Mus musculus: one gene and its partners. The protein of the gene in region 3 purifies or fractionates together with the protein of the main gene of each other region. This does not show direct contact. Links are inferred from orthologs where the notes say so. Each region holds a gene or a part of one and is shown on either strand. Other genes may lie near its edges. The genes, in order: Vopp1, Dvl2 and Wwox.

Region 1 (3,645 bases), on a different chromosome or scaffold from region 3:
TTTGTGTGAATGCTTTGGGCTATGTCACTTGGGTGTAAGTCATGAAATGTGCATGGGGGTGCTTAGGAACTCAGTATGCATACGGAGTGTGAAAGAGTTGAGCTCTTCAGCTACAAAATTAAGTGTTGGAAAGTGAATGCTAAATCAACAGTGAGCAGTATCTAGATAATCAGGTTTCTGTCCTCAAAGCTGGATTCAGAGTGCTGAGTTGTAGTTTTTAGCTCCACTACATGTTCCTTTTCTTCTTAGAAGACAGAGATGGCCACAGTGAGACTATGAACTGTAGGAAAAAAGGCAACAAGTGTTTCTCAGGAAAAATACAGGTCTGAAATAAAATTTGGTAAGATATTTTGATTTACTGGGTGTAGCCAAAGTGAGACCAAAGTTCCAGAGACAGGGTTTATTGCTTTCAAAAACAAGACATGTGAGTGGCCATGATGCATTCTCCTCTGGCAATACTCGGATACCACAGGGCACTCAAGGTGAGCTGCACAGACCAAAGTGTGGCTCTCAGTTTATCACCTGCTCACCACATTGGCTCTAGTTTGGATGACTACAGGAGCATCAGTCCTGTCACTGGGCCAGTTCTAGACAGGAAGGACATGTGTCCTGCACGCCCTTTCTCTATCCAAGAGTGATGGATCCAGATGAAAGCCACTCACGAATGGTTTTAACATGAAGTCACTTAATGTTTTAAATGGAAATTTGTGTTTTAAGTTCCAAAGGAGCAGAGTTAAAATAATAAGATGAATGTATGAATACAAAATGATGCCAAACTGCAGTGAAAATTGAAGGTGTGGCTCCCAGTAAACTCATATGGAAAATATACATTCACATCTTTCTTGGTGATAATCCTAAAAATATTAAAGAAAGATCTTTTGGAAGGGAAAACTCTGCCAAGTGTCAGATAGAAGAACAATTCTCTTTGCATCTTGAGCATGTCACCAAGAAAGCAAGACAGGCTACAATACCTGTTACATTCAACCTTCCCACTCTTTGATTCTGATTTAAACATGATGGACAAATTAAATACTGTGCTTATTTATTGCATGAAACCTGATGGGTCTGAAGGTAACACCTATGAAATCACCATGGCCCATATTACAATGTATCCTACAGACCTCTGTCGTCTAACTTACTATTAGTATTTGTATATATAATAAGAATACATTAGTCCTAATCTCTAAGTGAACTTTTTCCAAGCATATTTTTAACTATAGTTTTGTTCATTATAGTCCATAAGATGTTGAGTAGATCTATTGGACTTACTTGTTCTGTATAATAGAAATGTTGCAAAAGGAAAGAACGGTCCAGTCATCTACCTGTGGTGTGCCTGGGAGCACAGCAGTGTTCCTAGTAGCAGAGCAGTGTGCCTGGGAGCACAGCAGCATGACTGGGAGCACAGCAGTGTGCCTGGGAGCACAGCAGCATGACTGGGAGCACAGCAGTGTGCCTGGGAACACAGCAGCATGACTGGGAGCAGAGCAGCGTTCTTGGGAGCACAGCAACGTGACTGGGAGCAGAGAAGCATATCTGGGAGCACAGCAGTGTGGCTGGAAATCCAGCAGTGTGCCTGGGAGCACAGTGGTGTGAATGCAATCAACATATTGGCCCTCAAATTTATGAAACATAGAATCTTTAGTTCAGAACCAGGATGAGCAGTGCCTGTCTACTCTGCCTTCTGGCACCGTGCAACTCTCTATGTACAGATGGCTCCTTCCAAGCAAGGGGACCTCAGAGACACTGTCAAAACCCCTATACCAGCCTGTGTCTTGAGGGGAGGCAGCACCAACTAGTATAATATGGGGGAGATTTATACAGTTAAGGAAAAATTGTCTTTTAAGAACAAAGAAATAGCTAATTCTCTTTGATATTGAAACATTGCTTCGGGTAATATGTTCTACAGGCCATTGGTAACTTCTATGAAGGTGTTTACTGCTGCTCTACAATTAATTACTGTTACTGAATATGCATGTAAACATTCTCTCTTGTATATGTCTTACTAAATATATGATTTGAATTTATAGTGAACGTTTGTAAAAGAGAGGGATGTTTGGAAAAACCCTGTGATCTCTTGGCAAGCACAGCATTGGAAGTAAAGGCACTGAGAGTAAGGACATTATCATTGTCACATCAGAGCAAGAGGAGCAAGATTAGAAGGAGAATGCAGAGTAGAATAACTTAGAAGTTATAAGGCAACTTAAAAAATTAAGAGATCAGTGTATAAAACACTGAGGGAAAGAGGAAGAAAGAGGAATAACTCAGAAATTATAAGGCAGATTAAAAAATTAGGAGAGCAGTATGTAGAATGCAGAGGGAAAGAGGAAAAAGAGAAGCTGCAGACAGAGCAAAAGGATCAGGCAGGCTTTTCCTTACCATGGGAAAGAACAGGTCTTTTCTTAATAGCAAGGCAGGCTTAGTTTTACTAAAGAGAACATTTTCTTATAGACTCAGGCTTAATTCATTTAGCAATGAAAGTGTAGAAGTGTTTCCTTTCTCTATGAAATAAAGATTGGAACTCATTTTTCGTCCAGAATGAGTGAGTTCTTTCTGCACTGGCGCTTGGTCTTTTGCTCCATAAACATATGTTAAGTATGGACGTGTGTGTCCGTTAAGTATCTAATTATGAGGTAAGTATATAAGGTGAACTCAGTTGGTTTTAATGGAAAGACATGAATGTGTGTAAGAAATTATGTGAGTTTATTCATATTTGGTTGTGCAAAAGTTTTTCTTTCAGTGAGTGTGACTGTCTTCTCTTGGTTCAATAGAAGTTTATTATTCCAAACCTCCCCCAAGCCTGACAAGTGAGAAGCTTCCAGACAAGAGGTCAAAGGCCCTAGGAATTAATCCTTTACTTAATCCCTCGATGCTATTTGATGATGAAGTACTAAACCTCTGAGGCCAATACTGCAGTTTCTGGCTTCAGAGGAATTCAGGCAGGACAGCGATAGCAGTAAAGTGATCTAGACTTTTAGATAGTACACGTTTTATTATTAAACAGCAACCCTAAAAATCTCTAAAGACCAAGTTTTGCCCACCTTGATATTCTTTCCCTGTCTGCTACCTCAAGAGAAAACCAAGAAGAAAGAACAGCTAGGGCAGGGCCCCAGAAAGTACATCAGTAACAAAATAAGAACACCAGATGATACACTCACAATATATTGCATTGCGACCAGCAGGAACAAACAATCAAGTTGCACATCAGAACTTAAATGATCAAGTAGCCTGATTTATCTCTTCTAGCACACTCTGGGGCATAAGTGATGTCTGAAGAGGTCACTCAGATTACAAGGAGGACAGACAACGATGAGACTAACTGACCTGGAGCAGGATTTGGTGGCTGCCTGGTATAGGACACATTGAATGTGGGCTCCTCAATGAGTGGTGGCGGATACATGCGCCGGCGAATGAAGAAACCGGCACCACAGCAGAACAGCACACCCATCATCAGCAGGAACCTGCAAAGAACACAGACATGTGTCAGAGTTCAAGACATAGGCTAAAGTCAGGCTAGAGAACTGCGACAAAAATGCCTGAGGATTCTCCAGGGGCTCGGAACACCACTCCCCAATGGTAAAGCACAGAGATCCAGAAATCTGTGAGAAGTCTCCAGCCATGAGGACATGCAACTAACTTTGGGTGTCT
Region 2 (4,171 bases), on a different chromosome or scaffold from region 3:
CCTTCCTTCTCATACCCACAAGAAATCATTAGTACCTATTAGATTCAACACATGTCCTGGGTGTGTGGCACAAGCCCTCACCTTTGTAAGCAAATCCATGTAGACAAACTATGAGCCATGAGCCATTCTTTCCCACACATAACACCCTCACCCTCAAATCAGAGCTTCTTCGGGGTGGGGATGGGGGCTAAAGAATTGGCTCAGTGGTTCAGAACACTCGTTCTCGCAGAAGACCCAGGTTTAGTTCCCAGAATCCACCTAGTGGCTCACAACTATCCATAGTTCGAGTCCCAAGGGATCTGACTTGTCTCAGCCAAGCTTTCCAGGCACCAAGCAGGCACACTGTGTGCACAGATTTGTCTGTGTGATTAGTTCTAGCCTAACGTACTCTGGGGGCTTGGGGATAGGCCTCACGAATACATTTGCTATCAAGACGGCACACGAGCTACTCAACATTAACCAACTCTTCCCAACAGAACCCCACCGGACATGGCCCAGTCTCCTCCAAAGCAAGCAGTTCTGTATCGTGTAATGTAGTCTATGAACTAGTTAGCTTCCATACTAAATGAAAATTACCAGTCACCAAGAATGTACCATGTGCCATGCACCGAAATTAAGCATTTTACACTATGATTATCACCATGCCACAGATGAAGAAATCAAAGCACAAAAGCTAAATAAATTGCCCAAAATTATAATGCAAAAAGAACAACCTTGATATAAACCCAAGACCAACTCCCTAGGCAGCATCACCTTCTCCACATCGAACAACTGTTAACAAGGGTCCAGCCTGTTCAGGGAGCCGAGGGGGATGTGCTCCCACCACAGGGACTTTCACAGGTAAGAAGTCTCTCCCCAACCCAGGTGGTAGGTCACCTTCCTGTCCCCAGGACCCTGCTATCCCTGCTTGTCAACTCAGGACATCATAGCCTAACACAGTCTGAGCTTGGGGACACAGAAGGCTCAGTCCCAATCTCTACAACAACAAGAAACTGCCTTAAATTATAGTCTCAGTCCAGCACAGGGTCACCCAGCATGTCACAAATCACCCCAGAACTCCATAGCCCCCAGCGTCCCCACACAAGCAGCCCTTTGCACCATACTGATTACAGTACCCCATTCTGCTATGATGTAGCAGTACCACTACCCCATTTGTTCCCACTTGTCCCTGTCTTGTAACTTGTAAAAAGCCCAGGTCTGGGCCAGGCATCCTGACTGCCACACGTTATCTAGTTCCAGCACTATGGATGCAGGTGTAGAGGCAGGGCTGCTACAAGTTCAAGGCAAGCCTGTTCTATATTGTGTTCTAGGTAGCTTCAGTAACAGAAGGAAGTTCTTGGCTCAGCAGCAGACTGACTGGCTCTGGAGAAGACTGGAGTTCAAGTCCCAGCACACACATAGTGGCTGGCAGATGCTAACTCCAGTTCTAGGAGATCCCATGCCATCTACTGGATTCATTGGGCACTGCATGCTTGTGGTACACACTATGCATGCAGAACACCCAAACACATAAAGTAGCTTTTGTTTGTTTTATGACAAGGTTTCTCTGTGCAGCCCTAGCTGTCCTGGCACTGGCTCTGTAGACCAGGCTAGCCTTGAACTCAGAAAACTGCCTGCCTCTGTCTCCCAAGTGCTCAGATTAAAGATGTGCACCACCACTGCCCAACACATAAAATATCTTTAAAAAAAAAAAAAAAGCAAAAAAATCCTCCAACTCTCTTCAGCCCCCAGGGGGTATCGGGGTAGCGGGGAGAGGAGGTTCTGGCCCTAAGAGGAAATAAGAACTCAGAAAAGTTCAGAATGGTACATGCTTTGCCAGGAAAGTCTACTTCAAAACAGCCTAATATATCCCAATAGATCTCGCTGCAATATTACAGACTCTACCATCCCAAAATAATACTATGGAACCTGATTAATAAGCCAGAATAGCCTAATTGTCTCACTATAGCCCGGTCTACATAAAAACACTGCATGCCCAGCATATTGGCTCACACCTGTTTATTTCAGCTCTGGGGGCTAAGGCAGGAACTCCATGGGTTCGAAGCCAGCCTAGGATACAAGGAATAAAGCCCTACCTCCAAACAAAAGAACAAATCAAAACAGGCAAACAAAATTACAGACTATCTCTATCTAACTCGCGTGCAGACGTCTGAGAGCGAGCATCCCAGCTCACCAAAAGATAGATGGCTCTAATCTCCGCACAGCCTAGCATAACCTCAAGCATCACTTCTTTGCCTTTTGGCTAAAATCATGGAGAGAGAATGGCCAAACAAACCAGTGTTCCCCATTCCTCCAACCTAATTTTCTCGCCATCCAGCCCTTTCTTCTATGTGTCCAAATATAACCTTGTCCGTCTTGGGATGGGCTTTCTACCTTAGCACAGTACAATATGCTATGCTCCACTACAGGCCAGAAACAGTCCAAGGTAGACCGGTCTCCCTCAATATCGCCCAATCCACTCTAGCATACCCACCGTCCTTCCCAGTCTAGGCCTCGCGCTTACCCAAAATCCTGATCCATGGACTTGAAAAAGTACTTGGCGCCCGCGGGCCGCTGCAAAACGCTCTTGAAATCGCCGAGCGTGATGCGCTCCGCCGGGACAGGGATCTTCACCAGGTAAGGAGTCTCTTCTTCATCCAGATGGTAAATCACCTTCGTCTCGCCTACACCACCGCCCCCCGCGCTGCTGCCCGCCATGGTCTCGCTCGCGCGCTCCCGGGCTCAGCCGCCCACCCAACAGGACTAAGCGCCCCCGCCGCGCCTGCGCACACCCGCAAACTGACGCGCTAGCGCCAACAGCGCAGGGCCAGTGCGGAAGACGTGCCCAAGGAGGATGGCGGGGACCAGCGGGCTGATCGGGAAGAGCTGTGTGGCGAGACTCAAAACCTAGACCGCACAGTCGAGGGCCACTAGCTCCACGGACGTCGCGAGCAGCACCGAGGTCCCCGCCCACCTCTCCCCATGCCACGTGACCCAAGCCCGCCCACTTTGCGCAGCCGACTGTGCTTCACGTGACTTCCTTGAGTCACGTTACTACAAGCTCCACCTAGACACTCACGTGACCACTGCCTTGAGCAACGGTCTTCAGCCCTAGACGACTCCGCCCCCAAACGTGTACAACCCGCCCCCCCCCCTCCCAAGTACCTTAGCAAGCTTCTACTCTTGGAATGCTGGCAACTGGCCCCCACTTTGCCTTACCCATCTGAGGTTCAAGGCACCTCAATAGCAACTATAAGAGGGGCGGGGATATGGGCTGATGAGTGAGAATTGTAACCTGGGACCCTTAGGGCAGTACTCCTACTAGACTGTACTTGGGATGAGAAAGCCGAAATAGTCTTCAGAGATGTCTGAGGGGCATTAGACAGTGCCCAAGCCAGATTTGGCCCCTAAACTTCCCATCTCCACCTCCCAAATTGTGGAATTACAGCCCTGGACTTACAAGTGGCCTTCAGCCCCAACTCCACCCAAGACTTCCACCAGGTTTCCCAAAGATCCCCTCCCCAAATAGGACAAGGAGGGCTGTAAAACACAAGAGCCCACTCTGCTTTATTTACAACACGCAGGCCGTCTGTCTGAGCAGCCGGCCAACAGTATTAAAAACGAGGCGAGTGCTAATTGACACCTTTTTCTTTCCTTCCTCACTCCACAGGCTTTGGTACTCCACCTCTGAGCAACCTCGCTCAAATGGGGGAGCCCCAAATTAAAAATACATCCGGTGTAAAAGAAAGTAAACGGGAGAGAGAAGAAACATGAGGGGAGTGCTGTATTTACACTACAGTTTTATAGACAACTATCCCATTACATCCCAGTTTGAGCCCTGGACCTGCAAGTGAAAAGGGTACAGGGTTGACTGGACAGAGATTCTGTCTACAGATCCAGCCTCCCCGACCCAACTGTAATGGGGTCAACTTCAAGTCCATGGAGCAGGAAGGACAGAGTAGAAGACACTCATTTCCAAATACGTCTCCCTTGGGAATTGTGGCCCTCAAGTGGGGACAGCCTCCTCACTCCAAGGGAAGGCTGGGGACCCTGAGGCTCAGTTCCCAAGTAATGTCACAAGTTCCAGCCTTAGTGATGTCAGGGTTCTCCAGATTTGGGGAGACCCCCTAACCGCCGGGCCTCTGGCCGAAGTTCCTTGCATTTCTGGCAATAAAAGAAGTCGGGAACGTTG
Region 3 (4,252 bases):
AGAAACAGTGCTAAGTTCAGGTGGTTGGAGCAGCACAGTCTAGGACGTTTTCTAGGGCTGAGACTCCACACACTGAGGTCCACGTAGGAGCACCCAATGCAGGACCATTGGCATGCCTATACCCCAGCACCTCCTGCTCACACAATCCACTCATGTCTCCAGAGCCACTCAGTCCTTCTGAAGACACAAACTCACTATCACTCCCTGGCTTCAGATCATCGGCTGGCTCTAGAGTCCGACAACAAAATCCAAGTCCTTGGTGAAGCACAGAAGGGCCTCTGCAAACTGATTCCTTTCTCACCAGTCTCAGGCTTTACAACTCTATACCACAGAGAGAGGGCTGCCTGGGGTCTCTCCTCCCACTGCCCCCTCCAACCTGCCTGACTTCCTACCACCTGAGGCCACCTTCTACAGCACTCTGAGACACAGGGCAAGTGACACCTCTCCTAGGCGGCCTCCCTCACCCACCCACCCACCTCACGCTGGACACAGTGCACTGGAACTATATCATTAGAAATCACTTGCTGGTATTGCAGAGATCCTTAAGAATGGCAGCTGCACCACACTTAGCTGGACATCACCAATGCCCACCCACCGGCCTGGCCCTTAAGGACTCTTGAATGAATGAACTCACCAAAGCTTTTCTGTTTCTTTCTATCTGGCCACCAGGGGCAGCAGTGAGTAGCTTTGAGTACCTGCAAATCTCATACTTTACAGCCCATCAGTGGGGAGACGCCAGGGCACATTAGTTCCTAATTTGATAACAGGGCAAGAACGTTATCTTTTAAGTCTTTCTGGAACCAGGTAGGGTAGTACAAACCCTGTAATTACATATCTGGGAGGTGGAGGCATCAAGAACTATGTCATCCTGTTTACAAAAGAAAGTCTAGGCAAGCCTGGGCTACAGGAAGCACTGCTAGACAAAACTGTAGCATGTGCCATTAACCCCAGAGGCTGGAAGGTCTCTGTGAGTTTGAAGCCAGTCTGGTCTGTATATAATTTTTTAAGTTAATTATTAAAAACTAAAAATACACTTACAGGTGTTAATACAATAGTTTGTTTTCTGAAAGCCAGGTGATAAGATACTCTCATAGAAAGCTTGAAAAAGATTGAGTCTCCTAGCTTTTAAAGACATAAAGTCAGGTGTGTTGTTCATGCACACTTTGCCCAGGAGAAATGGGAGCTCAACCTCGGCCACCTAACCAAGTTAAGGCCACCCTCGACTATATGAGACCCTGTTTTAAAAATATTTCACAGATATATAAGAAAATAGAAGAGGAAGTATTTGATATGAAGAAAAAAATCAGGAAAAGTACACAATATTCATAAGAAAAAGGAGACCATGAAACTCGGGGGTTGGAGGCAGATAGACATCTTGGAAGGCAGACAGGGAGAGGAACCATGGCTAGGTGACACAGGTGGTGAACTTCCAAGACAGCCAGCTTCTTCCTCACACTCTTTATGTGAGTCGAAAGCCTGGCATCTTAAAACAAAGTCCTTGTGGGCTTTTTCTCCTGCTAGTCAGCTGTTGCTGATGACTGGCTCAGCAAGTTCGAGACCACATCAGGACACGTTACCCAACAGATGTGGGTTGACCAACCCTTATCTTTTCTTCAAACTGACCAACTCTTAAATTAGGGAATGAAAACTCCTCAATGACTTAAAACCAAAGCCCTCAAGAAGAGGCTGCAATTTTTTCGGCTCCAGAGTTCCCTTTGGCTTTGCAGTTGTTTTCTCCATGTGTGTCTGCCCTGTGAACACGAGTCCTCCCCTACAGAGTGCCTTTCAGCCTGCTGACTGTGCCTGCTGCTGTCGGAGGTGTTGGAGACTTCTCCACTGCTACCTGCTACATTGCGAATTTCCCGCTTTTTCATTCTTTGACTGGCAGAGCCTGATCAAGACTGTATGAAAACCTAGCATTTTGTCCATTAAGTATCTATTTCTTAAAAATGAACAGAGGTCCCCAAGCATAGAGTCAGCTGCAGTAGCTCCCCCTATGGGAGCTACTATCCCCTATCACGCCTATGCAATTTTGCCACAGATACAGTCCAAGTAACAGAAAACGCCTGCGGGGCAACCTACTAGCCTCTCCACTGAGTGCCTTGTGCACAGCACAGATTCATTCTTGTGTCTGCTCATTTCAGAGATGAGGAGAACAGAAAAGTCAGGGGCTTGCTTTCAGTGGCCCAAGGTCACGGTTAGCAACAGGGAAAGGCTCTGTGGAGGTTTCCAAGACTTCCCTGGGAAACCACTGCGAGCCATCCAGGACATCTGCTTAAAAATACAGATTGCTGGGCCTCCAGATCAGGTCCCCATGGCAGGAGCTTGGCTTTGAAGTTTTCTCTATTTCCTCTTTAGAGGAGTAAGACCTAGGCGCCACCACCGCACGGTGCAGTGCCACCTAGTGAGCGGCAGGGGGCGTGCGGCGGGTGGCCAGGTGACGGGACCTTGACCCAGATCCCCTAATAACGGGGGACAGCCTGGGACAGGTGGCTGGCATTTCGGATGCGCATGCCCGCCTGGCAGGGCAGCGCAGGGTCCAGGCCTCGCAGGACACGGCTCCCAGGAACGCCGCTCCAAGGCCGCTTACTTGGCGTAGTACACCCAGCCGTCCTTGGTGGTTCTCTCCTCCCAGCCCGGAGGCAGCTCATCCTCACTGTCCGTGTCGTCCAGGCCCGCATAGCGCAGAGCTGCCATGCTGGAGACAGAAGTAGCCGCCTGCTCTCCTCAGCAACTCACTCTGGCTTCAACCGCGCCGCGCGCGTCCGGGAGGGGACCAGACCGCTCGCGCCTGCGCACTGCTCGCCCAGCCGGTCCGCGGCTGTAATCCAGTTTCCGGGTTTTGCAGCTACTGGCGGGAAAGGGGGCGGAGCCTGAGAAGAGCACGGGAGGGAACGCGGAAGAGATGGAACGGCCGTGGGGGGTGGAAGGAAAAGCAGGAACGGCTCAGAAACTGGAATAAGCTTCCTCAGCCTCCTGGAAGGGGCGTGCTTACCCAGTCATCATGCAGGACTCTGCACGTTGCTGGGCGACCCGAAGGCACTTCCTTATTGTTTTACCCAATCCTGAATGAGTCCCAGCAGTGAAGTATCCTGGGAAATGTAGTCCAAGCTCAACTGGACTATAAAGGGGGGGCGGGGAGGGGGGAAAGGTTCTGATGAGATTATTCTGAGCTCCAGTTTCGTCCCATGCCCTGCAGGTGTACAACCTTTTGACACTACGACATGATACTGTGACATGGTCATTTCCAAAATTTACACTAGAGAAGCCCTCAATCGAATATCCAAATAGGAAAAAGAAAAGAAAAATCTCACAATGCTTAAAGTTTAGGATTTTTGTGTTGGGCAGCATTTATTAGTATCCCGGGCCACGTGTTGCCACGAGCCTCAGGTTGGACACACCTGCGAGAGTAAATGTCCTGACTTGATACTATCCAGGTATTTTTCCATTCACAATCTGTGTTGTTTATGTAAATATGCCATTTAAAAAAAAAAAACCTACACTTGGAGAACTAAGTGACTCCAGAATTTGGGAGGGTAAGTCAAAACGATCACAAGTTCACAAGTTCGAGGCCAGCCTATGCTATAAAGGGAGCCAAAAATCGAGAACATGCAAATTCTCATGCCTCCAGATTCTCTATTAAGAGAGAATGGTCTTCCAACCATAACTTGGTTCTCTTGTTCATAGGCGGCACCTGATTACAAACTTGCAAAGCAGACTTTTAAAGCACCTGAAAAAAAAATCCTGGTTATAAATATCCTAGACCCACAATGTGAAGCCTACCTTCACAACAGCACTTAGTCCCTTCCCCTATTTGTTTATCATTTCTGGCTCCTGGAAGTTTAGCTTTGACTTTGATCTAACAAGGATCTATCTGCATGTAAACCCAGGCAAAGAAGATTTTTCAGGAGCTTGAATACGTGTGAGACAAAGCCAACACCCACAAAGTCATACCCTAAGGAGATTTTATGACCATCTTGTTTCTGTAAAAACATCTGCGCCACAGTAGTTATGAAATGAGGATTTTTTAACTATCCAAGCTTGTGCTTCCGAAGCTGCACGCCAGGTGGCGCTATCAGCCTGCAGTTCAAAGCCTTGGTTCCCAGCAAGGAACCTTTGAACCTGTTTTTTGTTTGTTTGTTTGTTTGTTTGTTTGTTTTTAATCGATTGTTTACTTTCTTCTCTAGTAGAAATTTGCAACAACAAGATGCACTCACTTTTGCTGAGTAAAATTTGACACCACTCAAAAGAA

The links.
Region 1: the proteins of Wwox (region 3) and Vopp1 purify together in Homo sapiens (affinity purification with mass spectrometry; 3 studies listed by BioGRID and IntAct, with this or other methods). This does not show direct contact. The link is inferred for Mus musculus from reciprocal best matches to the Homo sapiens genes WWOX and VOPP1.
Region 2: the proteins of Wwox (region 3) and Dvl2 purify together in Homo sapiens (affinity purification with mass spectrometry; 4 studies listed by BioGRID and IntAct, counting the BioPlex papers as one, with this or other methods). This does not show direct contact. The link is inferred for Mus musculus from reciprocal best matches to the Homo sapiens genes WWOX and DVL2.

What each region holds. Positions count from the first base shown.
Region 1 is NC_000072.6:57,759,114-57,762,758, forward strand, and holds part of Vopp1 (vesicular, overexpressed in cancer, prosurvival protein 1 precursor), read right to left. Parts: intron 3,459-3,645; coding exon 3,322-3,458; intron 1-3,321. UniProt on the Homo sapiens protein: Increases the transcriptional activity of NFKB1 by facilitating its nuclear translocation, DNA-binding and associated apoptotic response, when overexpressed. May sequester WWOX in lysosomal vesicles and thereby regulate WWOX role as tumor suppressor.
Region 2 is NC_000077.6:69,999,359-70,003,529, reverse strand, and holds the start of Dvl2 (segment polarity protein dishevelled homolog DVL-2), read right to left. Parts: upstream 2,939-4,171; 5' UTR 2,698-2,938; coding exon 2,504-2,697; intron 1-2,503. Other genes in the region: Phf23 (PHD finger protein 23), read right to left, coding at 4,078-4,171.
Region 3 is NC_000074.6:114,438,217-114,442,468, reverse strand, and holds the start of Wwox (WW domain-containing oxidoreductase), read right to left. Parts: upstream 2,818-4,252; 5' UTR 2,698-2,817; coding exon 2,591-2,697; intron 1-2,590. UniProt on the Homo sapiens protein: Putative oxidoreductase. Acts as a tumor suppressor and plays a role in apoptosis. Required for normal bone development. May function synergistically with p53/TP53 to control genotoxic stress-induced cell death.